Linked DNA regions of Drosophila melanogaster. The gene in region 2 interacts genetically with the main gene of each other region. Each region holds a gene or a part of one and is shown on either strand. Other genes may lie near its edges. The genes, in order: slbo and Hsp27.

What was found.
Region 1: of Hsp27 (region 2) and slbo, changing one suppresses a phenotype caused by changing the other (phenotypic suppression), as found in Drosophila melanogaster (one study listed by BioGRID).

What each region holds. Positions count from the first base shown.
Region 1 is NT_033778.4:24,328,870-24,338,621, forward strand, and holds slbo (slow border cells), read right to left. Parts: upstream 5,439-9,752; 5' UTR 4,902-5,438; coding exon 3,552-4,901; 3' UTR 2,653-3,551; downstream 1-2,652. UniProt on the Drosophila melanogaster protein: Required for the expression of gene products mediating border cell migration. Among the DNA sequences that this protein binds with high affinity is a conserved site within the promoter of its gene.
Region 2 is NT_037436.4:9,379,283-9,388,158, forward strand, and holds Hsp27 (heat shock protein 27), read left to right. Parts: upstream 1-4,780; 5' UTR 4,781-4,903; coding exon 4,904-5,545; 3' UTR 5,546-6,412; downstream 6,413-8,876. Other genes in the region: Hsp67Ba (heat shock gene 67Ba), read right to left, coding at 1-157; Hsp23 (heat shock protein 23), read left to right, coding at 2,716-3,276; CG4080 (uncharacterized protein), read right to left, coding at 8,503-8,876.

The DNA.
Region 1 (9,752 bases), on a different chromosome or scaffold from region 2:
GAGAGAAGGTAAATGGATGGATAGCATTTCCACTCGACGTAAGTTGCGTAAGGAAAGTTGGGGAGAAGGCGAAAGGGGGGATGCGATATCATTTTCGCTGTGGGTCGCTGTGGCTGCACAATCTATTCGATGATTTACCATCTGGCCATCGTAGCAAATGTCTCTATTTCGCGTAGCTCGCTTGATTTATAACGGAAAATTCGTTTAGGCAAAACAAAACGCTAAACAATTTTTGTGGGCCACGTTAATAAGCGCAACATAACGAACATAATATCTTAACTTGGTCATCAGGCAGAGCAGACAGCCCAACAAAAGAAAAGGCATCTTTAAAGCAGCAACAACAGCACTCGGCTTGGCCCATTACATAACCCCCACACTCGGCCACAGATACACTCACAGATGCAGATACAGATACAAGCGCAGATACATGCCGTTCCTACGAGAGCGGAGCCGAATCTCAGCCAGCCAGAGCTTCAGCTGGCTTTTTAGCCTGGCTCCCCGAGTCTGCTTTTACACTATGCGATCGGTCCAACATGATGGCGTATGGCGTATGGCGTCGTCGAAAAGAAAATAGTCAATGTATTGTGGAGGGAAAACAACAAAGCGCGAAGAAAAAGATTGTGGTGCTACACTGCGAGAAGAGGGGCTAAAGTGAATATGTTGCATATTTTAGGTGGCAGGAGCTTGACTTGCACAGGAAAAATTCAAATACTTTGTGCTCAAATATCTTAAAAATATTCATGACAGTTGGTTCTCCTTTTGCAGCTCAACTTTTCTTCGAGTGGAGCTAGATGGGCCATTGTTGTTGCGGCGGCTGTATTAGATAGCAAAAGTCAGTCTGCGTCGAAGTCGGAGTCGGCATAGAAAGTGAAACCACCGCGTTGGCCACACGATCGTCGTTGCCAGGCGAACGGCAGCACAAAGGAGAGGGAACGAAGCCCGGCTCTAAGATATAAGCCAAACAACTAACTATTACTCAATCTGTGCTAAAAAGAAAAATAGAGATAGATGAATAGATGTAAAGTTGGTCTCTGCCTCTCTCTTTCCCTCGAACTCTTCCCTCTCTCTCTCTCTCTCTCTATCTCTCTGTTTCTTGCGGCACGAAAATAAAAGTGAAGTAACCCACTTTTTCCGTTATGGTTTTTATAGTCGCTGCAGCTAAAGTCGAGATGTTGGAGCCACAACAATGCGGAGCGGACGAAGTGGAACTGGAGTGTGAAAGATGGATTGGATGACAACGGAATCGAGATGGATTGAAACCGGGATCTGGAGCTGGAGCTGAAGCTGATTGGAGGTCCAATCTGCCAAGCTTAAGCTCGATCATGTAACCCAACATCGTATCTGTGATTAGTGTTGATTCCATTGATATCCAGTTACTTTGGCATATGATTCAATATATTCTGTTTGGATATGTAAGCGAATAAAAAACTGATGCTAATCTTATAAAATCCTAATTATTGTCATACTTAATAGAATCTTTATTAATTCCTTCATAAATCTCTTTGCCCGTCGTTAAGTGTCCCAGCCTTCTTTCATGGCGGCAATTAGCATTTATCAGCGCGGCGTACAGGTGAGACAGAAAGAAGTGTGTTTGCTGCCTCGTCTGCCCGTTGCAGTTGCGAGTCGCGAATTTATCACTTCTCGCTGCCGCCGCTCATAACTCATACGCCTCGTTGCCGCGGCGCCTAGTTGGGCAGTAATTGTGCGGCAATTTCTGAGCGCTTGCCAAAACGCAGATGCATTCGGCATTCGGCAGGAATCCCGCTGCAGGGGGCGAACTTTCTCCGTAAGCTGCTTAGAACCCTTATCAAAGTCAGGCTTAAATGGGATTGGGATGGATTTCGGTTGTGGCTGCGGTTTGTGGCTACCGAGCGACACCCACAAGTTCGAAGCAATTTCACTTTTGGGCCCAGAGTGCATGCGCAATTAGCTTTCATCAATCAAAGTGCTCAACAATGCAGCTAGACAAATTGGACGCACGCAGCAGCAGCAGCAGCAGCAGCAGTTGGCCAAGATACAGATACGGATGGAAAGAAAGTTTTGACCAAAAGGGCTTAGCCCGAGCCCAAATGTCTGTAAGTGATTATCTGCCCCAGGTCGGCATGCGTTTTTTGGCTCTCTGGCTCCGTGGCTCTGTGGCTTTTGTTTGGGCTTTCTCTGGCGCGTTAATTTGTCGGTTTCTCGAGTTGCATTAATTCTTTTTCGCTTTGTCGTTTATAAATTTGCTTTTCGTTTCGGGTTTGTCTTACTGTCAAATTGTGTCAACACGGCCGCCTTGCGATTGTCTGGGGTCCTCCACTTCGCCCTCCTTCCTCCCTGCAATTGGCCCAGTGTCGCGCCTGGCAGCCCGAAATGCATTGCCTTGTCGTATTTGTCCCATCGGAAGACAGCGAAGACAGCGAAGACAGAAGACGGCGGACAGAAGAAAGACCCTGCCCTCCCAATGCGGTGGTGGTGCGTCTCTTTCTGGTCTTCGCCCAGCGTATCGTTTTGTCGCCCAAGTATGGCCGACATTTAATTAGACACTTTTTGGCAGGGCTTTTGCATCAAATTGTGGCTAGGGCTAATTGCAGATTGGTAGTTGAACTGTGGAAATTAAGAAGTTATCTGAAATTCATTTGGGTTTTAGTCAAAACGCACGACAAGCCGATTCTTTGTATAAGGTAAATTTTATTTAATTTGTTTAGATTTGCTTTACAGTTTTCTTTGTTTGTGTATATTTAATTTACGAATATATAAATTAAAATGAGAACATTGCGTTTGCCTTACAATTAATAGCATTCATATCTTCTACGCTCTCGGAAGCGAACCCGTGGAATTCGCTACAAGTTGGTTGATTTCGGGAGGCTTTCCTCTGGGGATTGTGCAGGTAAAGCGATGCTTGATTCTCCGACTTACGAACTAGAGATTTGCTAATGTTGTGTGTCAAGCAGGGCTGGGCGTGGGAGTGGGCGTGGCATCAAGCATAGAGCGAAGCCGCACACCGTCGAGAACTGTACACATTTGAATTAGATGTATAAATAGTTAATAGGTTTTGAAGTTTGTATTTTCGTTCTTCGTTCCTGCGTGTTATTCTTTTTTACATTAATATTTTTAACATTTTTCTTTGGCTTAACTTTATGATAGATATAATGTATAAGATTATGTATAAAAACGTGCGAAATATATATGTTACAGTCGTTAAGAATTAGAATTAAGTACAAAAATATGCTTTACAGTGATAACAAGAAATGGGGACAGAGTAAATGTACAAGGAATGCCACAGCGATCGGCAGAAGAGTTTGGTCTCCAAGCGATGCAGCGGCCCACCAACTTGGCGCGACCGCTCCATCGTCTACGGCCAGAGAGGACAATGAGGAGCAGGAGGAGAATGAACCTTACGAGCTACCCACACAGCATTTGTATCTTTGATTTAGCAGAGTCTCGCTCACACGCACACACTTACGGCTGGAGCACTCACACACTCATACACACACACACACGAGCACTCAAGCATTCAAGCACTCACGCACACACAGAACTCGCAGGACACTGGCTTTAGCTGGCAGCGGCTACAGCGAGTGTTCGTTGGTGTTGAGGAAGCTGCGGCAGACGCGGCTCACTTCGGGATTGGCGTGGTTCATTAGCTGCATGTAGATCTGCTTGTGTAGCTGCAGCTCGTTGGTCATCTCACCAAGCTGCCGAATGAGGGCGTCCTTCTCCTTGAGCAGGCTCTTCACGCGCTCCTCCACCTCGCGGGAGCGCACCTTAGCCTTCTCCCGGCTCTTGCGCACCGCTATGTTGTTCCGCTCCCGCCGCCTGCGGTACTCATCCGTGCCCTTGTCCACATGCTTGTTGCTGTGCTTGCGGTGCTGCTGCTGTTGCTGGTGCTGCTGATGCTGCTGCTGCGCGTGCAGCTTGCTGTGCTGCTTGAGCAGATTGTGTGCTCCTGCTGCGGCCGCCAGGTGGGGCAGGTTGTGGTGCGCCAGGACGTTGGCCGTCGTCAGGTTGGTGAACTGGCTGCCGTTGCTGCTGCCCGTGCTGCCGTTGCTCCCGTTGCTGCTGGGCGTGGTGTTGCCTCCGTTGAGTGGGTTTCCGCCCCCGGTCAAGCCATTCGCCCCCGATCCGTAGCCGTTGTACAGGCCTGCTCCATTGCCCATGAAGGCGGCCTGCTGGCTAGCCGCCTCCTGCAGGTGCCGCCTGTACTCGGGGTCGATGGGCTCCTCCTTGATCGTGCTGGAGTCGGAGCCCACGGAGCTGTTCTCGTCGCTGGAATTGTTGTAGGTGGCGTGCACGGGCTGCGGCATGTAGGCCAGGGCGCCTCCTGCTCCGCCACCGCCTCCCCTGCCCCCGTAGCCGTGCTGGTTCCGCAGGGTCTGCTGCTGCAGGACCTTCGCCGCCGCCGAGACCATTCCGCTCGGCGGCAGGGTGGCCGAGAGTCCGCCCGGACTGGTCACCATGTCGCTGAAGATGCCCAGCGTTTCCGTGTCCCTGAACTGGTCGTCTATCAGGTGCTGCAGGTCGAGCGTGATCTCCTGGGTGGTCAGCTCGTCCAGGTCCGTCTGAGTGGAGTACTGCTGCAGCATCTGCTTCTGCAGCAGGTTGTTGTTGCTGCCCAATGCGGCGACCTGTTGCATCTGGTGCATGGCGTGCTGCTTGACCAGGAGTGCCGCGTCCTGCGACGTGTTGTTGTTCGCATCGGTAGTCTGCTGCTGGGGTTGCTGCTGCTGCTGTTGTTGCTGCTGCTGTTGCTGCTGCTGTTGCTGCTGCTGTTGTTGCTGCTGCTGCTGCGCCGTGGACATGGCCGTCAGTGTGATCTGGCCAATGGTGGCCTGCTGCAGGGGAGGCTCCTTCTTGAGGTCCAGCTGGGCCAATGTCTGAACGGCATCGGCGTACATCTGCGGCGACTCCATGTTCAGCATTTTCAGTTGCGCGAAGGAGGGTAGAATCTTGATTCCTTGTAGAGCGTTAATTTTGGCTGTTTTTAGAGTTCAGATTTGGGAATAAACTTTTGCTCGTTTGGCGCCTAAAGCATTGCACTGAGGTAAGAAGTGGGTCTTTGGAAATGTTCGACTCGGATAGCTCGCTATTCCGTATGCTTCATCTTAGGCTGCCTGGGTGGTCACTGCAGCCGAGCATCGTACTATTGCTTATTATGTTTCCGATTCTTAGCGCAAAATGTTTTATTCAGTTTGTTTACTTTGTTAACTCGACACTGCACTTCTCCGGCCGCACGCGTTCGAACGACTGAAGTGCCGCGGCAGTGATGCAACAGATTTTATACGAGACGGCCTGACGACTGCCGTTGGCTAGTACTCTCGTACTCGTACACGTACGTGTGCTGGTGTTAGAAACGCTCCTGAAGAACCGTTAGCTGAGCGAGCTTTTCTTCGATTTGGATTTTCTTGGCCAGCGGAGAGCGCGCGTCCGTCGCCGACGAGTGGTAAATTGTAACTGTGACAAAACGCGAACGCGAACGCGGCAAAGTGAAAAAGTCTTTGGCGCAGCGACGCAGCCGAAGAAAAAGAAAATGAGCGGCCAGCGCATGTAACACACACACACACACACATTCACTCGTACCGCTCCACACCGAAGCCCCAAGCGTTGCCGTCGCCGTCGCCGTTACAGCAAAGCAAAGGCGGCAGCAGCACAGCACAGCACGAGCAGAGCAAAAGCAAAGCAAGAGCAGGCAAAGCACAAGTAAGCCAGGCAAAGGCAAAGGCAACTACCTGTGGATGAGAGCGAGAGCCGCGATCAGGTAAAAAAGCAAGAGTTTTCCCAATCACTTTTACTCTCGTCGCAAGGCAATTCACTGGGCCATTCTTGTGGTTGCTGTGCGGGCCAAAAGCACGAATGCAAGCAAAGTGCATTTGGTACGAAGCTGGGAGATACTTCTTCAGTTTCCGGAACTTAATATCATATTTGATAGGATAATTACATTTTTTATATAGAATTTATTACATTTATACATGTTCCACATAAGTTAGTTTAGATATTAGTTTAGATATTAATTGTTTAATTAAGACCCCATCCTAGAATCCAGTATTAGTTATGCGCTGATGCAGTGAATTTCATGATAAAACTCAATGCAACGCACGATCGCGTGACGTCACACAAAAGGGAGCCCCAAGGCACCCACACAAGCTCAAGCGAGCACAGACACCAGCAGCGCGCGACGTCGGCAGCGCAGCCAGCGCTCATTATTCCTTGGCTCTCGCTTTCGTTTTCATTTTCATTTTCGGTTCCGTCGCTTTTGCTTTTTTTGGGAGAAGAGCCGCACAGCCGCAGCGAGAAGCAACAACACCACGCCCGCACACACCGGCACTCCGCTGCGTAACCCCCGACCCCCATTTTGGGGCCTTGCCCACTCCGATTTGTGTTTGGGCTTCGACTCGCTTTGCGCCTTAGAAATACAGAAAAGCAAAAAAAAACACAGAAGTGCAGTTACTTGGTGGATCGGGGGATTGGGGGCTTGGGGATTGGGGCCTGTTTTTGGCGCGCATGCGTGACTGCGCAGTGGAAGCGCAACGCATCGCGGAGCTTTCACGTAATAGGCAGCGACGTCTTATTAAAATTAAGACTGTGTTATGAAATTCATAAAAATTAGCACGGCTCGTAGTTTTGTTTATTTAAATGCAGCGATTTGTGAAGTCGCCTTCTCCACTTTTCCCCCATTGGCGCTCTTCTGCTTGGTGCTCACTCCGCTAACTCTGCTCACTCTGCTGACTCTCCTGAGTTTTCGAGTCTGCAATTTGGGTCAAGTTGTCGTTTACTTTCCGAAGGTGCGTCCCCTGCTTTCGGCCCCGCCTCTCGCCCCCGTCTTCTGCCTTCGTGTATGTACCTTTTGTTTACCCGGACTTTATTAATCATACGCCCCGTGCGCCGTTGCACGATAAGAGGGTATTCCGCTGTCGATGACAGGACAGCCACTTTTCTTCGCTTATCAGTCAAGCTATTGCAGCGAATCGGAAATATCGCCGATATCGATGACTGCATCGAGATTGTGCAAAAGTGCTTCCTTGTGCGTCCACAAAGATATTCTTCTGGTCGGGTGTATTTCAAAACGCATTCAACGCACCCTTATTGTTCTTGGGGGATTGCATTGTGCGGTCTGGTTACCCAAGAACTGATTCCATATCGATCGATGGGAAAGGTGATGAAATCTGCAATTTAAATGAGGCAAGATCGATCCATGTGCACCTTATCTTATCAGATTGTTTATGGAGAAACTACTGGTTAAATGGGATTAAAGCAAAGCAAAGTCATTTATTTATTTGCTTATCCTCCTGCTAACTGGAATCGTCCAAGGCTTACCTAAAGTTACCTATTTATAAAAACTTGAAAGCATAAATTTTTTAAAATAAATTTAAAAAAAAAACACTTCAAATTAGCAAGTAGGTGGACTGGCTATAAATACCAGCCCTTTGGCCAACAAGAAGGTGTTAGCCCTGATAAGATTAAAAACGCAAATACCATTGGCCCCCAGTAATTTCACTTTTTAAAATTGAGTAGGGTATTCATAGAGATGCTAGCATAAATCATAGATATTTACCCATTGATACCAAACTTGGAGAAAGTCTAGCAGATAAGCAGCTCTTTATCACCTTGATCCATTTCAGCGTTTTCCCAAAAGGGAAATTGTAGGCGTATTTATCTGCCGTCGACAACGCCCACGCGCAAAGTGCCTAAGAGTTTTATTTATATATTTTGGCAAACGACTGATAAGACGGCCAAAAGCCGCGAATTCGTAAACAAAACAAATACGAGTAGCGGCCACAATTCACAATTCACAACTGGCGTTCGTTGCACTCTGCAAAAAGTTGTCTGACACATGCGAAACTCCGACTGAATTGTGTTTATAAACACGGCCATAATTGGGAGTTTTGGCCAATGATTTCTAGACGGCGTTGTGTTTTGTTTTGTCTTCATTTTATTCGCCACTCGCAGTCAACTTATCTCGATGACGCGTAGCCAATTTAACTCTGCACTTCCTCAAATCCGAGCTCAATCGAAGTGAACTCGAGTCGATGGGGTTGGGTTACACACTCGCTTCATTCTCACGGCCTTGTTTATAGGAAAGACCTTTCTAGGAAGCTTTTTTGTTTTGGTGCGGTGAATTTTGTACTGATAGAATAGATATTAATTCCATAAGTACGCTTCTTTATTGACTCATCGCAGCAGATAAGTTCATACTTTTCACAAAACCCAGTTAGCCAAAACTCCGGTGGTTTCCACCTAATTGCAGTGTACTTAACACCATTTAAATGCAACCAGTTCGACGACCCCAAACTCTTTTCCAAAGGGGATTCTCGTGCTTTTGCGCTTCACTTCTGTAATTCTGACTCTACTTCCACAGAAAACGAGCCCGTTCCCTGTCGCCGTGTGCTGATGAGTACAGAAATTAATAATATTTAGTGCTGATGCGAGGCGATTCGGCAATGAAAGTCGGCTCTTCGGCGAAAACTTTTCGCTGCCCGCTGCTTAGAAAAGTCTTGCCAATTAATAGGAGCGTGAGAATAAAACGCGCGAGCCATCGAGTTCAACCAAAAATAACAAATATTTCAATTATTATATTTTAATCTAATCAAATTTTAAAACATCATTTTGTTTCATTGTTGTCCATGTGTAATTATATTTATAACAATAAAATCTATTTTAAAAATTATGTAAAACTTAAGCATATATTAACTTACTACTTATTTTCAAAGCTATTAGCAAATGGCGCGTAGAAAGTTAAAATACGTTTGAACAATTTGAATTTGAATTTAAGCAGCGCTTGTAAAGCAGTTTTATATCGATAGGTATACTGCTTGCTTAAAAGTTCTCCGATAACTTATGTGGCGCCATCTAGGCAAGAAGTTATGAGTATATGGTGCACTGCTTGGGAAAGGTGACCTGCTTGTCAGTTGGCGCCAATTCATGCAATTCAAAATCTGAAAATACGGCAAGTAATATATTTTAATCATTTATATTAGGTAAAAAGACTTATGTATAGTATTGATAAAAACAAAAGTATTTTATATACGATCCGAGGGAATTTTTGAAATTTCTTAAGTAAATTGTAAGCTGAGCGTTGGTATTTATTGTTCGCCTCTCACCTTTGCGCCCATTTCCATGCTGCCCATCGCCCGATCCTCGAAAATACATCGAAAAAGCAGCCCGATGAGCCCACAACTCATCCTATGGGATGCCTAACTACCTTTGGCATGCGATCGATGGCCCGACGACAAACGCATTGATTGAAATAGTTTATTTGCAGGCCAACAGTGAGTGACCGGCTCTTGGGCCCTCGATTGTGTTGCCTTTTTGTGCCTTCCTCATATTATTTGTGATGTTGGCAGAGCGCAGAGATAATGATGACGAGCTGCCAGGCCGGCCAGAGGCCAAGGAGCCTGGCCAGAGTCCGCTGGTCCACCCCCTTGCGGACTCTGGTGGGGATTGGGGGGCCGCATAGTGGCCGGGGCACGACTGATTGGGATGCCTGGTGAAGCGACGTGCGCAGAATTGACATTTTGTGTGTGCATTTGTGCATTTGTGCATTTGCGCACAGTGGGCGCGATAAGGTCGCACAGTCCGCTTCCAGGCGACTCCGACCACTGCTCTGATTTCCAGGCAAAAGTCAAAGCCGGGCACAAATTAAAAATGCCCCACAATTGCCCGCGAGTTTGAGATCGGGAACGAGAACGAGATCGATCGGGCGATCGATCGACAGCTTCTGCACTGCCAGTGGAATTTTCATATGAGCGCTTGATTTCAGCAAAATTACATACTTG
Region 2 (8,876 bases):
TCCCACGCCCCAACCCACGACTCAGCTGTGGCAACTGTGAGGTGGCCTCCAGTGGATACAACCCGAATCCGGCCGAATCATCTATATCCATTGCCAGGCTGCGATTGAAATCGTGCAGCTCCTCGGCCAAATCTAGTATGAACGGTATCAGCGACATTTTCACTTTCTTCCTATCTGGCTAAGATATATCTTTTATTTTTTAGGTCTTGCGGGGATTGGTGTCGTCTGGGAACCGGCGGCGATCCGTTCTGGCCTCCAACTGGACTGCGTTTGAGCCCTTATGGCTGAATGTCGACGCTTTTAAGCGGCTGTGCAGCGCTGAATGGAAAACCTGGTCACTTCCAGTCGGCTTCCATGCCAGCTCCCAGGCGAAAAACTATGCAACTCCTCCAGAGAACTCACCAAGGGGAAGGGCTACCCATTAAAACAGTCAGTCAAGCCATGTACTATGCCATTTTCTGCTATATACACCGAAATAAGAGATACTTTTCCTCTACCGCAGATAGCCAGAGAACAAAGAAAGTACTCGTACTCGTAGTCGGCAAGAAACCAGACAAACCAAACTGCAACGTTGCAAAACCAAATAAAAAAGATACGTAAAAGAGGCAAACCGGCTTGAAATCGAAGCATATATGCACGAATATCCCCCCCAAGAGATGCCATCTTCCTTGTACCGGCGATATACATATATGTACTCATATATACAAATATCCATATAGACGGGGTATATGTAAAGTGGTCGTGTTGCAGCTGAATTCCCACTGCCGGCATTGAGCGAACAGCTGAGAGTCTGAGTCTCGTGCCGGTTGCCGATGCGGATTCGAGTCGCCGGCGATAAACAACTACAACAACAGCTGGCTGGCTGGCTGGCTGGCAGGGCCGCCTGGAAGCTACAAATCCGCTGTTGCCAGAGCTGGAGGATTGGCAAGCCGGCGTCGCGTAAACATGCGCAGTGACAGCGTCTGGGGCAACCCATACATATGGTATCTCCATATACATTTGTATCTACATACATACATACATACCCTGCCACACAGATGATGATGATATTGCTGGATTCGTATGTGGTTACATAGCCAAGTGCAAGCGATGGCAACCGGTTGAAAAGCTCCAAAATGCAAAAAACAACAACAACACCAACAACATCCAGACGGGGGCCAGACAGTGGAGACTTTGCTAAAAATTTACTGGGGCCCCGAACTCAGCTGCGGGATACAATTCTGTATGGCCATATATTATATTATATAGTATGTTTGTATTGATATGGTGTATCTGCCAGCTGCAGTCGGAAAAGAGCAAAAACCTTCAGAGATTGCTGCGTACGAGATGCCCCCTTGTACATACGATACATTCCCCATGTACATACACACTGGGTACTTGCTCCCATTTACCTAACCAAGGGGAAGAAATCCGCCGGACGAGCATGCTCGCACATTATGTGGCCACCTTTTTGAATAGACAACTTCCACTGCGTTGGCGTTGGATTGTCCAAGCCCTGGGCACCAAGAGTACTCTACTTCAGTGGAGGAGGAGTGGTGACAAGAAAATGGGGCCATAAATAAAAACTCGAATTATATAACAACCAGAGATTGAGTTCTATAGCAATGCCCATGTATTATATGGTTATTCAATCGCTACTGTAACAACAAATTGTAAACAAATTGTCATTTGATTTGGTTATTACGAAGTAATTCTGAATTCTAAACAATGTGTATATAAGCTGAATATTTATCAAGTTGTACCAAGCAAATGTGCAGCTAAATCTTACATACATACATATGTATTTGTCTTAAGAAATTGGTCAAATATAATAAAAGGTTACAGCCTCGTTTTCAATAAACCAAATATTGACTATTAGAATTTATTAAATGTTTTTAATGTTTTTTGGTTTATGTTTTCATCTATCGACCTTTGAAATTCAAAATAGTTGCATTACATTTTATTCAAATAATTTTTACATCCTTCGAATCCTTTATTGTATGAATGTACATATGTTCCAAATCGTATCATTTTTACATTTTCTTACTGATTGGAGTAATAATACGCTTACATCCCATGGGTTATTACCTACCCGGCATTAACCACTTATGTATTTTAATTAGATTTCCCCACTACAGAGCCCCATTCTTGGATATTAATTAAAGTTAATAGCTTAAATGCCAGGCCATAAAAAGAAGAACTGTTCTGCAGTCTCGAAGTTTCGCGAATTTACTCCATCCTTCGTGGAATATACTCCAACCTTCCTATCTGCTATGTATGTACATACATACGTGCTTACATACGTACATCTATACATACACATAATATTTGCCGGTGCTGATGCGACTTATCACTCCACCAGGCCTTTTCATTCCCACTCCCCTAGGAGATTGCTCATTTTCCATAGCGATACTCTCACTTTCAATGGCAGATAATGCGTAATTGCGGCAAATTCGAGAACTCTGCGATATTTTCAGCCCGAGAAGTTTCGTGTCCCTTCTCGATGTCGATGTTTGTGCCCCCTAGCACACAGACACGACGCGCACACACACAGCGCCGACGGGCGCACGCACACTACGATAGCGAGCGGTTGTATAAATAACCGGCACTTTCGTGCAACCGGCGTCAGTTGAATTCAAAAAGCCAAAGCGATAACAGCTAAAGCGAAAGTAACCTATCAACAAAAGAAGTTTATTCTTTGAAGGAGAATCATCTTGAAGCAATTAAAAAACAAAAATGGCAAATATTCCATTGTTGTTGAGCCTTGCCGACGATTTGGGCCGAATGTCGATGGTGCCCTTCTATGAGCCCTACTACTGCCAGCGCCAGAGGAATCCCTACTTGGCCCTGGTTGGACCGATGGAGCAGCAGCTGCGCCAGCTGGAGAAACAGGTGGGCGCCTCGTCGGGATCGTCGGGAGCCGTGTCGAAAATCGGAAAGGATGGCTTCCAGGTCTGCATGGATGTGTCGCACTTCAAGCCCAGCGAACTGGTGGTCAAAGTGCAGGACAACTCCGTCCTGGTGGAGGGCAACCATGAGGAGCGCGAAGATGACCATGGCTTCATCACTCGTCACTTTGTCCGCCGCTATGCTCTGCCACCCGGTTATGAGGCTGATAAGGTGGCCTCCACCTTGTCCTCCGATGGTGTCCTGACCATCAAGGTGCCCAAGCCACCGGCAATCGAGGATAAGGGCAACGAGCGCATCGTTCAGATCCAGCAGGTGGGACCCGCCCATCTCAATGTGAAGGAGAATCCCAAGGAGGCGGTGGAGCAGGACAATGGCAACGATAAGTAGAGGACTCGTTCCGAGAGATGCCCTGCATTATTTAACCATTATCAAAGTCATACATCTGTTTTATAAGCTGTAGTTATCCAAGGACACTTCACTCATACACAATAGCCATTAAGGGTGTCCTGCTTTAATCTTAGTTTGGAATATGTATTACTAAATTGGCGAAATTAATATTACCCATAAAAATAAATAACAAGTACACTTACTTATAATTGTGTTTGGTCTGTTTTTCTGGTTGGTTATGGGTTACTATTACTATTACTTTGGGAATTGTTTGGCTAGCTTGGCCCTTTTTCCTGTGATCCCGGTTTCTAGAATTTACTTTCTGCATTGTATATTGCATTGTTGTGTCACGTAAAATGGCATTTTTATTTAATTGTTGTTTGTGTACATAACTGACTTTTTACATTACTTCGGTAAAGAGACTTGAAGCTATGAATGTAAGGAACTTCAGTCAAGGTTAAATCCTTATGTAAAGCATGCATAAGTACATCATGTACATACATACGTACATAAGAATATACATCCCTTTTCACTCTCTTCTTTTTAATGAATTTCTGTCATCTCTACAAGAGATGTACGTTATGTACGTCCTTATAGCACGTACCTATGTACATGTATAAATTGAACTTCATTTTTGTATGTTACCGCAAATAATTACGTGCATGCACACATACACATACATATGTATGTATGCATGTAGTTTTGAAAATAATTATGTATTTTGGTTAACTGGTGAACCAAGAATAAAAAGATTCTATATACACATATACATATATATAGAAATGTATGCATATGTACATATAATAATCGAAACACTTGCAACAGACTGGCAATGATTTGCAAAATTTTCAATTGCCCCGTTTCCCACTTCGCGAAGCAGTGGCGAAAGCAACTGCAAAAATGTTTGCAACAAACAAAAGAACGGCAAACATGAGGAGCAGAACGAAGCGAGACAAGGGTTCAATGCACTTGTCCAATGAAAATACAAGCTCTGTTGCACTCTGAAAAGACAGCTTTTAAAAGAGCGATAAGAGAAGAAAATGCTTTAAATAAATACATATATCTGCATATATACGTACATGTACATACATATGTATGTACTGCATTTTAACTGTTCGTTTTGCTTTTTATTCGCAAAGAGAAACTCCCCAGAAAAGAAATGTCAAGAAGTTTCTGGTTCTTTCTCCCTCTCTCTATGAAAAGCCGGCTGTGCTAGAAAGAGCCAGAAGATGCGAGAGAAAACTGTTTGTTGAATTACGGGGCGTATTCAAAGGGGCTTTTAAATGTCGCTTAAATTTTAAGTTTGACAGGCTAATAATTGCTTGCCTATATCTAAATATTATTATATTTGCATTAGGGGATCATAGGGAAAACCTTCTCTGCAGGCAAAATCTAACGAAGATGGCAACCCCCCATCATTTTATTAAAGTTCCGTCCCTGGTTGCCATGCACTAGTGTGTGTGAGCCCAGCGTCAGTATAAAAGCCGGCGTCAACGTCGCCCGAGCACAGTCTAAACTGAAAAATTGAAGGCAAACGTTGAAGCAAACTTCGCTAAAAAAATTCGAAAAAGCAAAAAAAATTCCTTTGTCTAGACAGGGTTGTGAATAAAGAGAAAAAAAATCAAAAATGTCAATTATACCACTGCTGCACTTGGCCCGGGAGTTGGATCATGACTACCGCACCGACTGGGGGCATTTGCTGGAGGATGACTTCGGTTTTGGCGTCCATGCCCACGATCTGTTCCATCCGCGTCGCCTGCTACTGCCCAACACCCTGGGACTGGGTCGTCGTCGTTATTCGCCGTACGAGAGGAGCCATGGCCACCACAATCAAATGTCACGTCGCGCGTCGGGGGGTCCAAACGCTCTGCTGCCCGCCGTGGGCAAAGATGGCTTCCAGGTGTGCATGGATGTGTCGCAGTTCAAGCCCAACGAGCTGACCGTCAAGGTGGTGGACAACACCGTGGTGGTAGAGGGGAAGCACGAGGAGCGCGAGGACGGCCATGGAATGATCCAGCGTCACTTTGTGCGCAAGTATACCCTGCCCAAGGGCTTTGACCCCAACGAGGTAGTGTCCACTGTCTCATCCGACGGTGTGCTGACCCTCAAGGCCCCGCCGCCGCCCAGCAAGGAACAGGCCAAGTCGGAGCGCATTGTCCAGATCCAGCAAACGGGGCCTGCCCATTTGAGCGTCAAGGCACCGGCACCCGAGGCTGGCGATGGAAAAGCCGAAAATGGCAGCGGCGAGAAAATGGAGACTAGCAAGTAAAAGACGAAAAGAGGAAGACTAGGAGATGAAGAAGACGAGAAGAGGAAGAAGACTAGAAGAGGAAGAAGTCGTGAAGGAGGAAGAAGACGACGAGATTCGCTGGCGAAGCACGAGAGAAAGAAGAATTTAAAAGAAGAAACGGGAGTGTTGCCGCGCTGCTCGGAGAGAGCAAGACTAAAAAGGACACACCACAACACACCCAATGTATTACATTCACACACATCACATCATTACATCATCATCATAACATCCTAGACTAAGTGATTTTAAACTCCATTTATCATAATGCATAAAAAAAACAAAATTTTAGTGTGTATTATTAGGCTAAACAACTGGAGGATTCATTGCTCCCTTTGAGTTTATACTTTTTGTAACAAGAACAGGCGCAACACTCGGGAGAATTTTGCATTTCATTTGTGAATAAACGAATACAATAAATACAAATACACGAAAAGAAGTCAGCTGTCGAGTTTTTGTTGGTTTTTTTTCCTTTTTAGCTTCGAATCTGCAAATGTATTTGCATTTAGGGTAAACCGGCTTTTGTTGGGTGTCGTTAACTTTCAAGGGGTCTTATGTACATATTCTGTTTTCCTTGTCCTTGAATTGGACTTGTGGAAAATTAAATGGTCAGCCAATTGCTTAACCTTTGTCGACGATTGTTATGATGATTTGTAATGATTTTGCACAATTCAGAAATCGATATAAAAAAAAATGGGAAATGATTTTTGTTTTTCAATTACATTTTGACAAACGTCATGCAAATATTTCCAGTTCCGCGCACACTGAAAGAAAATCCAAGATAAGAACGACATTTAAATAATTTAATCAATTGTTTGCACATATTTATTTAAATATTTAATACATAATAAAAAATTTAGTTGCCCGTTCTGATTTCATATTGGTTGTTTTATGCTCGTAACTTGTAGCGATCATAAGTATTTACTGTTAATTCTATATCTATATCTAAAACGGCTTTCATTCATATTTCTCAGCTGGGTGTTGAGATACGGATATATCTCAGTTTTCTCGGCTCCGTGGAGCTTTCGCTGTTAACCGCGAAAAAGCTTTTAGTGGTTGTCATGTTGCTGTTGTTGGTTTTATCTTAGTTGATGTTAAGTAAAAATGTATTTTATGTATTTTTCTGCATTTTCTACGGCTGCGGCTGCTGTCAATATGTTTTTGCTTGCATTTATGCACGTTATGTATGTATATTCAATGACGCTTAATCACAGATCAATTTTTTAAAATTTCATTTGACTTAGAAGTTAAGAAACAAAACACATCCGAAGCACGAGAGAAAGAAGAATTTAAAAGAAGAAACGGGAGTGTTGCCGCGCTGCTCGGAGAGAGCAAGACTAAAAAGGACACACCACAACACACCCAATGTATTACATTCACACACATCACATCATTACATCATCATCATAACATCCTAGACTAAGTGATTTTAAACTCCATTTATCATAATGCATAAAAAAAACAAAATTTTAGTGTGTATTATTAGGCTAAACAACTGGAGGATTCATTGCTCCCTTTGAGTTTATACTTTTTGTAACAAGAACAGGCGCAACACTCGGGAGAATTTTGCATTTCATTTGTGAATAAACGAATACAATAAATACAAATACACGAAAAGAAGTCAGCTGTCGAGTTTTTGTTGGTTTTTTTTCCTTTTTAGCTTCGAATCTGCAAATGTATTTGCATTTAGGGTAAACCGGCTTTTGTTGGGTGTCGTTAACTTTCAAGGGGTCTTATGTACATATTCTGTTTTCCTTGTCCTTGAATTGGACTTGTGGAAAATTAAATGGTCAGCCAATTGCTTAACCTTTGTCGACGATTGTTATGATGATTTGTAATGATTTTGCACAATTCAGAAATCGATATAAAAAAAAATGGGAAATGATTTTTGTTTTTCAATTACATTTTGACAAACGTCATGCAAATATTTCCAGTTCCGCGCACACTGAAAGAAAATCCAAGATAAGAACGACATTTAAATAATTTAATCAATTGTTTGCACATATTTATTTAAATATTTAATACATAATAAAAAATTTAGTTGCCCGTTCTGATTTCATATTGGTTGTTTTATGCTCGTAACTTGTAGCGATCATAAGTATTTACTGTTAATTCTATATCTATATCTAAAACGGCTTTCATTCATATTTCTCAGCTGGGTGTTGAGATACGGATATATCTCAGTTTTCTCGGCTCCGTGGAGCTTTCGCTGTTAACCGCGAAAAAGCTTTTAGTGGTTGTCATGTTGCTGTTGTTGGTTTTATCTTAGTTGATGTTAAGTAAAAATGTATTTTATGTATTTTTCTGCATTTTCTACGGCTGCGGCTGCTGTCAATATGTTTTTGCTTGCATTTATGCACGTTATGTATGTATATTCAATGACGCTTAATCACAGATCAATTTTTTAAAATTTCATTTGACTTAGAAGTTAAGAAACAAAACACATCCTACACATGGACTAAATAATTACCGTCTCTGGTTGGTTTTTGGGCTTTTTGGCATGGACAACTTAGTGGACATACATATATGTATATGGTATGGGATCGGAGAGGCTGGATAATAAAAGCAGTACACGAATAGAGGATAAATTATACATCGATTTAGCCACTAAATCAATATACTGGTTCTAAATGTTAAGATAACTTAACTTAACTTTTTTTTTTGTGTTTTGTGTTAATCATTGCAGTCTCAAATTGTTTATGGGCTTTGCTATATAAAGAGGAGAACATAGGGATTGTTGGGCCGCTGGCCACGATATGGCTTTTGAAGCCCCTTGGTGTGCGGTATAAAAAATAGTATTTCGATTTTACTTTCTATGTGGATCTCGGGGTCTCCGTCGACCAGCGGTGAATACTTGAGAGAGCAGAGCTTATTGGGGGGAGAAAGAGCGCGCAGATCATAGTGGATCACATCAGATCAGTTGGGCAGGATACTCCATTTCACTTCTGGAGTAGACTTTCACAGCTGCTGCTGAGATTTGGCAACGACTTGAAACTGAGCCGCGAGCGATCCACCTGGGCGTCCGAGGGACCGTAGCCCCTGCTGCTCTTGCTGCTGCTGACCCCATTCACTCCGCGGTCAAAGGATGAGGAGATCACAAGCTGATGGGAATTCCGCTGCTTCTGCTGGCTGCTGGCATAGGCGGCAGGTGGTGATAGTGGCGATGTGGGCAGGTCGATATCCAGCACGGTATCCGCTTCGCCGGCCTTCAGCTTGGGATCCGAGTAGCGACGTAGTTCCTCCTTCGTCGGCTGACCACCTAAACAATCAGTGGTGCAGCAACCAATGGGCAAATCAACGCCCATTATCCCAG